Anolis sagrei: one gene and its partner. The protein of the gene in region 2 interacts with the protein of the main gene of each other region in a biochemical or structural test. Links are inferred from orthologs where the notes say so. Each region holds a gene or a part of one and is shown on either strand. Other genes may lie near its edges. The genes, in order: SIX3 and NR4A3.

What was found.
Region 1: the proteins of NR4A3 (region 2) and SIX3 form a complex in vitro, tested with the Homo sapiens proteins (3 studies listed by BioGRID). The link is inferred for Anolis sagrei from reciprocal best matches to the Homo sapiens genes NR4A3 and SIX3.

What each region holds. Positions count from the first base shown.
Region 1 is NC_090021.1:28,040,035-28,047,131, forward strand, and holds the start of SIX3 (homeobox protein SIX3), read right to left. Parts: upstream 3,114-7,097; 5' UTR 2,505-3,113; coding exon 1,672-2,504; intron 1-1,671. UniProt on the Homo sapiens protein: Transcriptional regulator which can act as both a transcriptional repressor and activator by binding a ATTA homeodomain core recognition sequence on these target genes.
Region 2 is NC_090026.1:61,209,501-61,217,587, reverse strand, and holds the start of NR4A3 (nuclear receptor subfamily 4 group A member 3), read right to left. Parts: upstream 3,102-8,087; 5' UTR 2,866-3,101; intron 1-2,865. UniProt on the Homo sapiens protein: Transcriptional activator that binds to regulatory elements in promoter regions in a cell- and response element (target)-specific manner.

The DNA of each region.
Region 1 (7,097 bases), on a different chromosome or scaffold from region 2:
GACGGGCAACTTTTTGCAATGCTTTGCCTCTCTTTGCTTTCCTTTGGCGCCCTTTCCTCTGCCTTCTCTTTATCTTGATCCCCCCTCTCAGCAAAGGGATTTGTTTGTTTGCTTGATAATGAATAAGGATAGAGAAACAGCCGCTTCCTGGTCTTCCCAGCCCCCTTCAGAAGGCAGCTTTCCATGGGTTTATTTAGAATATTTACTGAGGAAAGCTGAGAAGAAGGCGAGGGAAAAAGTTTCTGCGTTTCTTGCCTGGCGCAGATCAAGAAGCACAGCCAGCCCTCCTTTTCCCTCCTCCTCGCATTGCATTGTTTGTTATTCCAGCTCCGGGTTCATCCTTTCATGTGATCCTTTTGACAAGTCACAGCGAAAGGGCCAAGTGACATTTCAGAGACATAAAATCCAATCATAACACTAGTCGGAACTCCAATGCAAGCGGCGAGGAGGGAGGATTTATTTACAGACCGATTTGTGCCCGAGGATTGTCCGCGGAAGGGAAAACAGGACGGCTTCCGCTTCAGGCGATTTCTCTCTCTCTCCTCTCTCTCTATCTGCTTCTCTCTCCTCTCTTATGGTGATGGGTCCCTAGTTAGATCCCTCGCTTTATTCTTGTGGGTACTCAAACGGACACGCAGGTACACACGTGTTCTGAGAATTGGGGGGAATTTGAACGGGTGGAAAGAGTCCAGTTTCCAAATATATTTTAAGATCATAAGAGAGTTTGGCGAGCAGGCAAAACTTTGCAACTGGGATAGCATGGAGAACTCCAAGCGGGGAATGGAAAGGCAAACACACCTCTCTCGGCAGGATGGAGAGAGACAAAACTCCGGGTTTTTAAAGGAAGTGTCTCTTTAGAAGGAGGGAAAGAACCCCACTCAACTTTCGGGTTTCTTTTGGCTTTCCAGGAGGGGTTTCTGCCCTGCTAGAGAGGGGACCCACACTAACAACATCGCGATTTCTGGGGAGGGAAAGAGGCTCTGAAAGCCGAGCAGGGCAGCCTAACTCATGGCCTGTGGCGAGGAGCAGGGCTTGGGGGGTTCCTGGTCACGCGTGGAAGGAGGAATGCGAGTTGGGGATCCCCCAAAACCTCCTCCTGCAAGGACGCGTGAAAGTTGGGGGGAGGTATCCCTGAACTTCCGTGGGTGGGTCTGGTGGTCTGTGGTCACGCGTGGGTTAGGAAGCACGAGAGTTGGGATTTGGGGAGCCCTCACTGTTGGTTTTCAGATTCCCCAACACTCACACTCACTCCTGAGAGTCCCTGGGAGTCCCTGACCTTTGACTTGTTCACGTGTGAGTGGACGCGCAGGAGCCGGGGGTCCCCCAAACCTTCTCCCTAAAGGACTTGTGCGAATTGGGGATCCCTCACACTCCTTCCTGAAAGAACGTGGGAGAGCTGGGGGGGGGGGGGTCCCTGACTTTACGTGGGTGGGTTCGGGGGGGGGGTGTCCCATATCACGCGTGGGAACAGGGGTCCCCATTAAACCTCCTCCCTAAAGGACGCGTGGGAGTTGAGGATCCTTCCTGCTCCCTGGTGAGTAATGGGGGTTCGCACTGGTCACGGGTGGATGTCTATGCGAGAGTGGTGGGTGTCCCCTGCCCCCTACCCGTGGCCTCTCCCCTCCAACCCCACGCACAGCCCTCCCCTGCACACACTCGCGTGGGACTGACCTGTTTTTGGCGGCGGCGGCCCGGTCGCGCTGCCGTCGGTTCTTGAACCAGTTGCCGACCTGGGTGGGGGTGAGTCCCGTGGCCTGGGCCAGCTCCCTCTTCTTGCTGGGGTTGGGGTAGGGGTCCTGGAGGTACCACTCCCTCAGGAGGCTGCGAGTCCGCTCCTTGAAGCAGTGGGTCTTCTGCTCGCCGTCCCAGATGGTGCGCGGGAGCGGGAACTTCTTGCGGACGCGGTACTTGTCGACGGGGCCCAGCGGCCGGCCCCTCAGCTTCTCGGCTTCCTGGTAGTGGGCCTCGAGCCACATGGCCTGCAGCTTCCCGTGCGACTCCTTGGTGAACTTGTGGTTCTCCAGGATGTGGTAGAGGTCGCGGAAGTTGCCCGTGTGGAAGGCCACCACGGCCCGGGCCCGCAGGATGGACTCGTGCTTGTTGATGGCCTCGCAGGCGCCCGGCGCCACCGGCAGCGACCACAGGAAGCGGCCCAGGCGCTCGATGTCGCCCGTCTCCTCCAGCGTCTCGCAGACGCTGGCCACTTGCTCCGGGGAGAAGTTGAGCGTGGGCAGCTGGAACATGGACAGCTCTTCGGGCCCCACGCGCGACGAGGACGACGACGAGGAGCCGCCGCCGGCGGAGGAGCCTCCAGTGCCGCCCGAGCCTCCACCTCCGCCTCCTCCTCCGCCTCCTCCAGGTCCGGTGGTGGTGGCCCCTCCGCCGCCTCCGCTGGCCAGCAGGAGCGAGCGGTGCGGGTGGTGGTGGGCCGGGTGCGGCTCGCTGGGGAAGTTGGGCAGGAAGAAATGGGCCGGATAAAGCTCTAGAGGGGATCGGAACACCATGGGACCCAGCCTGGCGGGCGGACGGGGAGCGGGGGGACGGCGAGAAAGAAGAAGGGAGAGAGGAAGAGGAGAGGAAGAGGGATCAAGGCGAAGAGGAGGAGGAGGAAGAGGAGGAGGAGGAGGACGGGGAAGTAGAAGCAGCCCAGGAGGAGAAGGAGGAGGAGGAGGCGGAGGGGAGGGAAAGGGGGCCCACGCACCCCACGCGCATCCGCAGCCGCATAGAGACCCTCGTCCGAACCCACGCTCCCCCCTTCCTCGCTCCCACTCGCGATCAGCCCCACGCAGGCGTCCAGGAAGGCATCCGAGCCGCCGTCTTCCTTTCCCCCTTCTCTCTCTTTCTCTCTCTGGGTCTCTTGCACACTCACTCACTCACTCACTCTCTCGCACACCCAAAAGTCCCCCTGCTGCCGCCGCCGCCGCCGAGCCAAAAAAAAAAACCCACCCCAACCCAAACCAGGGGGCTTGCTTTTCAGTGACTCGGCCGCGGTCGCCCTAATGCCAACCGCCACCCGCCTCATAATATCTCTCTCTCTCCTCAATCCGCCGCGTAGTGCGGGCGCCCGAGCATTTTGTTTCGCTTTTTCTATTGGCCTGCCGGGCGTCGTTGGGGCGTCGCCATGGCAGCGGGCTGCCAATCACTGTCAGCCCTGCCAATCATCGGGGGCTACGTCAGAGGAAGGGGGCTCTCGCCCAAAAGGCGGAGGGGAGGGGAGTGGGGAGGGGAGGAAGGAAGGAAGGAAGGAAGGAAGGAAGGAAAGAAGGAGGGAAGGAAGGAAGGAGGCAGCCAGCCTGAGAAGGAGGGGAAGGGCCGGAGGAGGAGGAGGAAAGCTTCCCTCTGTGTGTGTGTGCTTTAATCGCTGCAGCTCCCAAGCTTAGCACTTCCACTTTGCCCGGTCTTTCTTCCTCTATCAACAACAGCCCCCCTAAACCCTCTTTCTTCCTCATCCCACCAGTCACACTCTCTTTCCTCCCGATTCTCCCAGTTATACCCTCTTTCCTCCCAGTTATGCCCTTTCCCCTCCCAGTTATAACCTCTTTCCTTACAATTATACTCTTTTTCTTCCCAGTTACACCTTCTTTCCTCTCAGTTATGCCATCTTTCCTCTCGATTCTCCCAGTTCTTCTCTTTCCTCCCAGTTATACCCCTTTTCCTCCCAGTTATACCCTCTTTCCTTACAATTGTACTCTCTTTCCTCCCAGTTATATCCTTTTTCCTTACATTATACTCTCTTTCCTCCCAATTATGCCCTCTTTCCTCCCAATTACAATCTCTTTCTTCCCAGTTTTGCCTTCGATTCGTCCAATTCATCTCTTTCCTCCCATTTATGCCCTCTTTGATTACATTATACCCTCTCTAGTCCCAGTTATACCCTCTTTATTTACAGTTATACTCTGTTTCTTCCTAGTTACACCCTCTTTCCTCCCAGTTATATCCTCTTTCCTCTCGAGTCTCCCAGTTGTTTTTCCTCCCAGTTATACCCTCTTTTCTCCCAGTTATACCCTCTTTCCTCCCAGTTATACCCTTTTTCCTTCCATTATACCTTCTTTCCTTACAATTACACTCTCTTTCTTCCCAGTTACACCCACTTTCCTCCCAGTTATGCCATCTTTCCTTTTGATTTTTCCAGTTATACCCCCTTTCCTTACAATTACAGTCTCTTTCCTCTCAGTGATTCCCTCTTTCTTCCCAGTTACATCCATTTTCCTCCCAGTTATGCCATCTTTCCTTTCGATTCTCCCAGTTATTCTCTTTCCTCCCAGTCATAACCTCTTTTCTCCCAGTTATACCCTCTTTCCTTACAATTATACTTTCTTCTCAGTTATGCTCTCTTTCTTCCCAGTTACACCCAGTTATACCCTCTGTCATCTCAGTTTTGCGTCTTTCCTTTCGATTCTCCCAGTTATTTTCTTTCCTCCCAGTTACATCCTCTTTCCTCCCAGTAATGCCACCTTCTCTCTCTCTTCTTCCAGTTCTTCTCTTTCCTCCCAGTCACCCGCCTCTTCCCTCTCTCTTCTCCCACTTCCACCTTCTATCCTCCCGACCCCTCATCCCCCCAAACCCTTTCTTAGCACACAAAATGCTCCTCCTCTTGTTTATTTCAGGAGCCCCTGGCTCGCTTCTTTCTGGAGGTCTCTCTCTTTTGCTGCTTCAAGAAAGGGGGAAAGAATCAGCCACCCCTCGAAAGGAAAATGGGGAAGGGGAGGAAGGTGGCGGTGTGGTTTCAGGCGAAGACGGTGGCCCCGCGTGGGATAAAAGGGCTCCGAAGGGAGACGATTTGCACATGATTTGCACGTAGTTGCGCTTCGTTTCTGCCTATCTGAGCACTAATAGCGCCGGGGAAAGAAAAGCGAGATGAGATCATTAGGCCCATCCATCCGCTGACCCGGCCAGGAGAGGCCTCCCAAGGATGGAGCCTGTCGGAAAGGGGGGAGAAGCAGGTTAGTTTCCTCTCCCTCTTCCCCACCCACAGCCCCTGAAGTTCCACCGGGGGTCCCTTCAGCGTCCAAACTTTGCCAAACTCTTCCTTCCATCTCCAGGTTGTGGGAAAACAGCACAGGTTTGGGTCCTTCCAGGGGAAAGAAGGAAACCTCTCCGACTTCATCCCGGTTGGATTGGGTGGGATGTGCTTCTGAGTGAATCCACGTTTCCAAACCAACCACAACAACCCCTGGACTGTCCCAGAATCAGGGAAGAAATGCACATTTCAGCAAATTTTGTTGGGGAAGAGGGTCAGGGTGATAGTTTAGATCTTCCAGAAAATTATCTTCCATTTTCCATTCTTCCCACTCCCCTCAATTGTCATAAACCCCATTCATTGCCTCTTTTGTTGTGCGTTTTATCCTTCTGCCAGAGTCTGGAGATAATATGCATCCCCTCTGGTCACTTTCACCTCTTCAGGATGAGATTTCCTCAGTTCTTTCCTTGTATTTATGTTTTTTTTTAAAGGAAACCTATTTTGTGAAAATCCAGCAAGTGGATGGAAATACACACCTATTTAGACTATATATGCACACTCCTATACACACTGGCATATAGATGTAGGTGTATAAAGTACTCTCTTGGTGTATGTATATGTGTTTGCGCGTTTGCATATGCACAAACAGCCTTATATATATTTGTGTGTGTATAAGAGAGATTTGTGTATGTGTGTGTGTATTTATGTATCTATACATATATGGATATATAGCAAATATAATATATAGGGATGATATTTATGTGTGTGTAAGAGAGATCTGGTGTATGTATGGATAGATAGATAAATATAATATATAGGGATATTATATATAGGGATATGCATATATTATAATAATGTGTGTGTAAGAGGGATCTGATGTGTGTGTATAGATATAGTAAATATAATATATAGGGATGATATTTATGTGTGTGTACGAGGGATCTGGTGTGTGTATGTATGGATGGATAGATAGATAATAAATATAATATATAGGGATATACGTGTATAGGGATATATATATTATAATAATGTGTGTAAGAGGGATCTGGTGTGTGTGTGTGGATATGTGGATATATAGTAAATATATAGGGATATATAAATATATAGGGATATATATTATATTTATGTGTGTGTAAGAGAGATCTGGTGTGTGTGTGTGTATATATATATATAGGTAGATATATTATATAGGAATATACATATTGATATATAATAAATATAGTATATAGGGTTATGTATATAAACGTATAGGGATACACACACACATATAATGTGTGTGAAAGAGGGATCTGGTGTGTGTGTGTATGGGTATAGAGTAAATACATTATATAGGAATATACACATAGATATATAATAAATATAATATATAGGCATATGTATATAAACATATAGGGATGTATATATGTGTGTGTGTAAGAGGGATCTGGTGTGTGTGTATATATATATATATATGGGTATAGAGTAAATATATTATATAGGAATAAACATATGATATATAATAAATATAATATATAGGGTTATGTATATAAACATATAGGGATAGATAGATAGATAGATAGATAGATAGATAGATGATAGTGTTTGTAAGAGGGATCTGGTGTGTGCGTATATACACACATACACACAAATCAGGTCTATGTATCTGTGTAAGAGAGAGATCTGATTTTGTTTCTCTCTCTGTGTGTGTGTGGTGTGTATTTGCGTGAGTGTGTAAGAGAGGTCTGGCCGTGTGTGTATGCCTAGGAGCACCTTTCTGAGCCTCCTTCTCCCAGGAGTAGCTCCGCCGGCCTTCCCTTCCGCCGCCCGCCTGCATTTTGATCCGGAGGTGCGTCGCTTTTTAAGGCGATTTTAATCGGCGTGTTGAGCCGGTCACTCCTTTGTGTGGTTGCTGCGGCCATGGAAGTGTGGTTTACAGAGATTTGTACGGGTCATGGCTGTCTTTCCAGCCCGACTGTGTATATTTAGACAGGACTTTGGTTGGTGTTAAAAAGTGTATATTTTGAATGGGTTCACACACAGTCGCCAACAATAGGGACATTGTCGAGGCATGTAGAACGCGTATTGAAACGCAGCATCCAGACTTCTCCTAATCTGCCCTCAATAAAGCTGAAATAATTATCCTAAGCCGCCTTTCTAG
Region 2 (8,087 bases):
GGAGAAGGAGATGAAAGGGGAGGAGAAGGAGGAGATGAAGAAGAAGTAGAAGAAGATGAATGACTACTACTACTTCAAACTACAAGAAAGGCGATTCCATCTGAACATGAGGAAGAAGGTGGAGGAGGAGATGAAGTAGTAGAAGGAGAAGAAGATGAAAGAGGAGGAGGAGATGAAGAAGAAGTAGAAGAAGATGGAGGTGGAGGAGGAGATGTAGTAGAAGGAGAAGGAGATGAAAGAGGAGAAGGAGGAGATGAAGAAGTAGAAGAAGATGAAAGAGGAGGAGAAGGAGGAGATGATGAAGAAGAAGTAGAATCATACAATCACAATAACAGTGGGTGGGCCACATGTACATAGAATCATAGAATTATAGAATCAAAGAGTTGGAAGAGATCTCATGGGCCATCCAGTCCAACCCCCTGCCAAGAAGCAGGAATACTGCATTCAGATCACCCCTGACAGATGGCCATCTAGCCTCTGTTTCAAAGCTTCCAAGGAAGGAGCCTCCACCACACTCCGGGGCAGAGAGTTCCACCGCTGAACGGCTCTCACAGTCAGGAAGTTCTTCCTCATGTTCAGATGGAATCGCCTTTCTTGTAGTTTGAAGTAGTAGTAGAAGAAGAAGATGGAGGAGGAGGAGATGAAGGAGAAGAAGAAAAAGAAGGAGAAGAAGATTAAGGAGGAGGAGGAGGAGAAGTAGTAGAAGAAGGAGAAGAAGATGGAGGAGGAGGAGATGAAGGAGAAGGAGAAGGAGAAGGAGAAGAAGACGAAAGAGGAGGAGGAGATGGAGGAGAAGGAGGAGATGAAGATGATGAGGAAGAAGAAGGAGGAGGAGAACAAGATGAAGGAGGAGAAGAAGGAGAAGTAGAAGAAGGAGAAGATAAAAGAGGAGGAGGAGGAGGAGGAGGAGAGGGAGGAGGAGGAGATGATGAGGAAGAAGGAGCCCCAGGGGGCGGAGTGGGTTAAACCCCTGTGCCGGCAGGACTGAAGTCCGACAGGTCGCAGGTTCGAATCTGGGGAGAGCGCGGATGAGCTCCCTCTATCAGCTCCAGCTCCTCATGCGAGGACATGAGAGAAGCCTCCCACAAGGATGATAAAACATCAAAACATCCGGGCGTCCCGTGGGCAACGTCCTTGCAGACGGCCAATTCTCTCACACCAGAAGCAACTTGCAGTTTCTCAAGTCGCTCTTGACACGACAAAAAATGAGGAAGAAGAAGGAGGAGGAGATGAAGGAGTAGGAGAAGGAGCAGTAGAAGAAGGAGAAGAAGATAAAAGAGGAGGAGGAGGAGAAGGAAGAGGAGGAGATGGAGAAGGAGGAGATGAAGATGATGAAGGAGAAGTAGAAGAAGGAGAAGAAGATAAAAGAGGAGGAGGAGGAGAAGGAGGAGGACGAGATAGAGGGAGGAGATGGAGAAGGAGGAGATGAAGATGATGAGGAAGAAGAAGGAGAGGAGGAGAAGGAGAAGTAGAAGGAGAAGAAGATGAAAGAGGAGGAGGAGATGAAGATGATGAGGAAGAAGAAGGAGGCGGAGAAGATGGAGGAGAAGTAAAAGAAGGAGAATAAGATGAAAGAGGAGGAGGAGGAGATGGAGAAGGAGGAGATGAAGATGATGAGGAAGAAGAAAGAGAGGAGAAGAAGGAGAAGTAGTAGTAGAAGAAGAAGATGAAAGAGGAGGAGGAGGAGAAGGAGGACGACGAGATGGAGGAGGAGGAGATGGAGAAGGAGGAGACGAAGATGATGAGGAAGAAGAAGAAGGAGGAGAAGAAGAAAATGAAGGAGGAGAAGAAGAAGAAGTAGAAGAAGAAGGAGAAGAAGATGAAAGAGGAGGAGTAGGAGAAGGAGGAGGAGGAGATGGAGAAGGAGGAGATGAAGATGATAAGGAAGAAGAAGGAGAGGAGAAGAAGGAGGAGGAGGAGAAGGAGGAGGAGGACGAGATGGAGGAGGAGGAGATGGAGAAGGAGGAGATGAAGATGATGAGGAAGAAGAAGGAGAAGGAGAAGATGAAGGAGGAGAAGAAGTAGAAGAAGGAGAAGAAGATGAAAGAGGAGGAGAAGGAGGAGGAGGAAGAGGAGATAGAGAAGGAGGAGATGAAGATGATAAGGAAGGAGAGGAGGAGAAGGAGAAGTAGAAGAAGGAGAAGAAGATGAAAGAGGAGGAGGAGGACGAGATGGAGGAGGAAATGAAGATGAAAGAGGAGGAGGAGGAGAAGGAGGAGGAGGAGATGGAGAAGGAGGAGATGAAGATGATGAGGATGAAGGAGAGGAGAAGAAGGAGAAGGAGAAGTAGAAGAAGGAGAAGAAGATGAAAGAGGAGGAGGAGAAGGAGGAGGACGAGATGGAGGAGGACGAGATGGAGAAGAAGGAGAAGAAGAAGGAGGAAAGGCTTGTTGTGGGGGGCAAGTGAATCGGGAAAGGCAGCCGGCTGCTCTCCGCTTTATCTATCGCTTCCTCTCCTCCGAGGCTTAGTCCTTGGAAGGGAAGGAGGAAGCAGAAGCTCCCCGATCTCCGCCTTCTTGAAAAGTTTGGAGCCGCTACTTGCGAGCGTCGCTCCACTTGCTGGATTGATGTGTGGGGGGCGCCGTTGCCTGCAACCCTGCAACCCCTCCCGCTTTGTTGTTGCCCCCCCCCCCCGCCCCCGATCCCTTCTCCAATTCGGACCCACTGCTCACGCCTCACCCTGGACGAGGAGGCATCAAAATCCGGCTCTGGAGAGCGTCGTCCCCATGACAACAGCGGAGGCGAAAAGCGAGCGATGCCTGGGTTTTTTAGGGGAGGGGGGGGAGTACGGATCCGACCCCAGAGAAGCGACCCCAGACCCCTCACAGCCCAAACTTTGCCCAAGTCGTCCCTGCTCCGACTCACTCGGCTGCGGTGGCGGTTCCGTCTTTACATAGAGTTGGACCTCCTCGGCTGCTCCGGGGAAGCGTGCTCTCCTTCAGTCGCTCCAGAGCGAGGCGGCATCGGCGCGACGGGAGCCTGGCTTTCCACCTCGGAGCTCCGGGCTGCGCTGCCTCTCTTTGCCTGGCTCGCGCTCCTGCTCGCGCTCAATCTCTCTCTCCCTCCGCGCGCCGCACGTCATTTATGCGAGGAGCCCCGGCGGCCTCTCAGGCAGCGGCTGGAATGCGAGACGTCAATCGTGACGCCATGGGAGCCTGACGCGGCTGACCCCCGCCCCCTGCCCGCCCCGCCGCCGCCGCTGTCTGGGCTGAGCTGGGGAGAGAGAGAAAGAGAGGGCGTGTGATTGTGTGCGAGTGGGGATTGTGCGCCAATGGAGAAAGCAGGCAGGCAGGGAAAGAAAGAAGGAAGGAAGGAGGGAAGGGTGCTTGTGTGTGCTTGGGTGTCTCGCGCCTGTACAACCAGCACGCGCACTCGGACGCGGAAACAAGAGCCCAGGGAAGGAAGAAGGGAAGCCCTCGACCGGATCGGGCTTCCCAGGAAGATCGCCTGCTCCAGGAGGCAGAAAGAACTCTTACTTTCTGAAAGGTGCAGGTTGGCAGCTTGGGAGTGATCCTGGATTCATCTCTGAGCCTGGAACCCCAGGTTTAGGGGAGTTTTTGCACAATTAAAGCTTGTGCACCAGCTGCACCCCTACCTTGGGAAGTCTGATCTGGCAACAGTGGTCCACACTGTATTGTCGAAGGCTTTCATGGCTGGAATCACTCAGTTCTTGTAGGTTTTTTCGGGCTATATGGCCATGTTCTAGAGGCATTTCTCCTGACGTTTCGCCTGCATCTATGGCAAGCATCCTCAGAGGTAGTGAGGTCTGTTGGAATTAGGACAAAGGGTTTATATATCTGTGGAATGGCTGGGGTGGGGCAAAGAGCTTTTCTCTGGAGCTAGGTGTGAATGTTTCAACTGACCACCCTCATTAGCATTTGAAGGCCTGGCTGAGCCTGGGAAAATCTTTTGTTGAGAGGTGTTATTATTATTATTATTAACTTTATTTGTACCCCGCTAGCATCTCCCGAAGGACTCGATGTGGCTTACACGGGCCGAAGCCTCAAAACACAATACAATAGAAAAACATAACACAACAATAAACAAAGCAAATCAAAACAATTAAGCAAAATAACCACAATGACAATATATCAAGACACTATTAAAACTGGTTCGGCCAGCGCAATGGGGTACAGGGTTAAAAGTGCTGAGATGGCAGGAGGAACGTAGGATTAAAGTGCGGTGTGCAGCAACATTAGTTGTGCTAAAGTGCATCTAGGACTTGGGATGGGGATTCCTAATCTGCGAAGGCACATCGGAACAGCCATGTTTTTAGGTTCCTTCTGAAAACTGCTAGAGTAGAGGCCTGACGAAGCTCTTTTGGAAGGGCATTCCAAAGTCGGGGGGCCGCCACAGAGAAGGCCCTGTCCCGCGTCCCCACCAAGCGCGCTTGCGACGTAGGTGGGATCACGAGCAGGGCCTCCCCAGATGACCGGAGTGAGCGTGTGGGTTCGTAGATGGAGATGCGGTCACGCAGGTAGGGTGGTCCCAAACCATTCAGGGCTTTGTAGGTAAGCACCTGCACCTTGAATTGGGCTCGGAAAATAAATGGCAGCCAGTGGAGCTCCTTGAACAAGATGTTAAGATGTGCCTGGTTGTTTCCTCTCTGCTGTGAGGTCTGCTGGAACTGGGAACCATTTGGAGCCATGGAGAAGAAGAACTCAACAGGTTTCTGGACCATCTTAACAGCATCCACCCAAACATCCAGTTCACTATGGAAAAAGAAAAGGAAGGAAGACTGCCTTTTCTAGATACGAACTCCAGCATATAGATCTCGTTTGCTGTGACATACTGTGTTTTTGTGTCTGTAAAATAATAATAATAATAATAATAATAATAATAATAATAATTTCTTTTTAACCTGGCCTCTCTTGGAGGAAAGAAAGGCACCCAGGGATCCAAACTGGGTAAAAACGATCACTATGGGCTTTGCCACACAGCCATATAACCCAGAATATCAAGGCAGAAAAACCCACAATATCTGCTTTGAACTGGGTTATCTGAGCTGAGTCCACACTGAATTCAAAGCAGAAAAATGTAGGATTTTATTCAGCTGCATGGACCCTTAGGGGCCTATGGAACCTTTTATACTGCTATATAAAATCCGGATAATCTGCTTTGAATCAAGTAAGCCGCCCTGAGACCCCTTTGGGGAGATGGCGGGGTATAAATAAAGATTATTATTATTATTATTATTATTATTATTATTATTATTATTTTACAGTCATCCGTAAACCAGATCAACAATTGGGTCACACCGTTTACAGAAAACCCACACACACAGATAGACAGGGCTGTAGCCAGAAAAAAATTTCGGGGAGGGTTGAAAATTTCGGGGGGGGGGGGGGTTGAAACCTGCCTCCTAGCTCACGCTGAAGCAAAGAGCACAGCAGGGGGCAGAGCAACCTTCCATAGCCTGCAGCTCCACCCCTGTCAACCACCTCCACCAAGTCTGGCCTCCTTAATGAGAGCATTCAACACACACACACCCAACTTGGTTGCTTCACTACATCTGCTATTGCTGCAAGTAATGACAGTGTGAATAAATTGTCAATATTTGCTTGAGATAGTGCTTACAGTTCTAAAGGTACTCTTAATTTTTTGCATCACATAGACTTAGCGTGGGGATTTGGTTAACCAGTTAAAGTTCATGAGTAAACCAGATTTTTTAAAAAAATCTGAAACATTTTTTGGGGGGGTTTGAACCCCTAAAACCACCCCCTCGCTACAGGCCTGCAGATAGATATCTACAGAAAAACTCCAACCATCACCCAAGTCAAAAAAGAAGCATCATTAAAGCCTTGGCAGACCATGCAAAAAGAATCTGCGAACCCCACCTCCTCCAAGATGAACTGAACCATCTCAACTGGGCTCTACAGGCCAATGGATATTCCACCTCAGACATCAGAAGAGCTGCAAGACCGAGAACAAGCCACGAGAGTCAAGATGAAGATCCACCCAGAGGAAAAGTGTTCCTGCCATACATCAAGGGAACCACTGACCGCATAGGGAAGCTGATGAGGAAACACAACATACAAACAATCTACAAACCCACCAAGAAAAACCAACAAATGCTACGTTCAGCAAAGGACAAGAAGGATCCTCTCACCTCTGCAGGAGTCTACCATGTACCATGCAGCTGTGGACAAGTCTACATAGGGACCACCAAACGCAGCATTGCCCAAACAAGAATCCAGGAACATGAAAGGCACTGCAGACTACTTCAACCAGAGAAGTCAGCCATAGCAGAGCACCTGATGAACCAACCTGGACACAGCATATTATTTGAGAACACAGAAATGCTGGACCACTCTCACAACCACCATGTCAGACTACACAGAGAAGCCACTGAAATACACAAGCATGTGGACAATTTCAACAGAAAGGAAAAAACCATGAAAATGAACAAAATCTGGCTACCAGTATTAAAAAACTCTAAAATTACAACAGCACAACAACAGAGAGGAAGCAGGCAGGGACATCTAATTACCTCTCAACAAAAGTTTGCTCCAGGCACTGCCAGGCAATCAAATGCTAATCAAGGTGGTCAGTTGAAACATTCACACCTAGCTCCAGCAGACAAGAGTCCTTTGTCTTACCATGGTCATTCCACAGATATATAAACCCCTTTTTCCTAGTTCCAACAGACCTCACTACCTCTGAGGATGCTTGCCATAGATGCAGGCGAAACGTCAGGAGGGAATGCCTCTAGACCATGGCCATACAGCCTGAAAAAACCTACAACAACCCAGTGATTCCGGCTATGAAAGCCTTTGACAATACATGAAAGAAGCCTCCCACATCAAATCATCCGGGCGTCCCTGGGCAACGTCCAATTCTCTCACACCAGAAGGGACTTGCAGTTTCTCAAGTCGCTCCCGACACGACAAAAAACAAACAAACAAACAAAAAAACCAAAACGCCCCCTTGTTGTGTCAGCTCCACTGGTGGTCCACTTCTGAACTCAATTCAAAGTGCTGGCTTTGACCTTGACTTTTTTCCTGAACACCAGGAAGGAGGGGGCCAATAATAATAATAATAATAATAATAATAATAATAATCCTTTATTTATACCCCGCTAACATCTCCCAAAGGACTCGGTGAGGCTTACAAGAGGTCAAGGCCCAACACATCAATAAAACAACAGAATAACAACTACAACAATAAATAAACTCATAAAACAAAGCAATAAACATTAAAGCAATAACAGTAAACATTAGACAATAACACCACAATGCATTTAAAAACTAAGGCCGGGCCAAATGTAATGATTAAAAATTTTAAAAATGCTGCACATGATAGGTGAAAAGGATAGGTTTTTGGAGATATCTTAAACTCTAATAAAGTGCATTGGGGACATGATGCTAAGAGTTTCCTATTCTGGGAAGGCACACTGGAACAACCATCTCATCAAGTTCTTCCTAAAGACTGCCAACGTTGGGGCTTGTCTGATGTCCTTGGGGAGAGAGTTCCAGAGTTGAGGGGCCACCACAGAGAAGGCCCTGTCCCTCATCCCAAACAATTGCGCTTGTGACACAGGTGGGATCTTGAGTAGGGCCTCTCCAGATGATCGAAGAGATCGTGTGGGTTTGTATATGGAGATGCGGTCACGCTTAGGGCTTTGTAGGTAAGAACCAATCTGATATAATTGGAGAGGGAGTTCTATAGTCGAGGGGCCGCCACTGAGAAGGCCCTGTCTCTCATCCCCACCAGTCCTGCTTATGAAGAGGGTGGGACCGAGAACAGATGTGATGAATGTAAGATAATAATAATAATAATAATAATAATAATAATAATAATAATAATAAATTTTATTTATACCCCACCATCATCTCCCCAATGGGGACTCGGAGCGGCTTACATGGGGCCAAGCCCGGACAACATAATTACAGCAGAATAAAACCAAAAACATAAACAACAAACAACAACATCAAAATTACATAGAAAAAACATTCCAATAAATACAATCACAATAACAGTGGGTGGGCCGCATGAACAGGATAAAACAATTAAAAGATTCTAATGAGATAAAAATAGGAGCAGGTTATTTGCAGGGAGTTCGTAAAAACAGAGTTGTGAAACTAAAC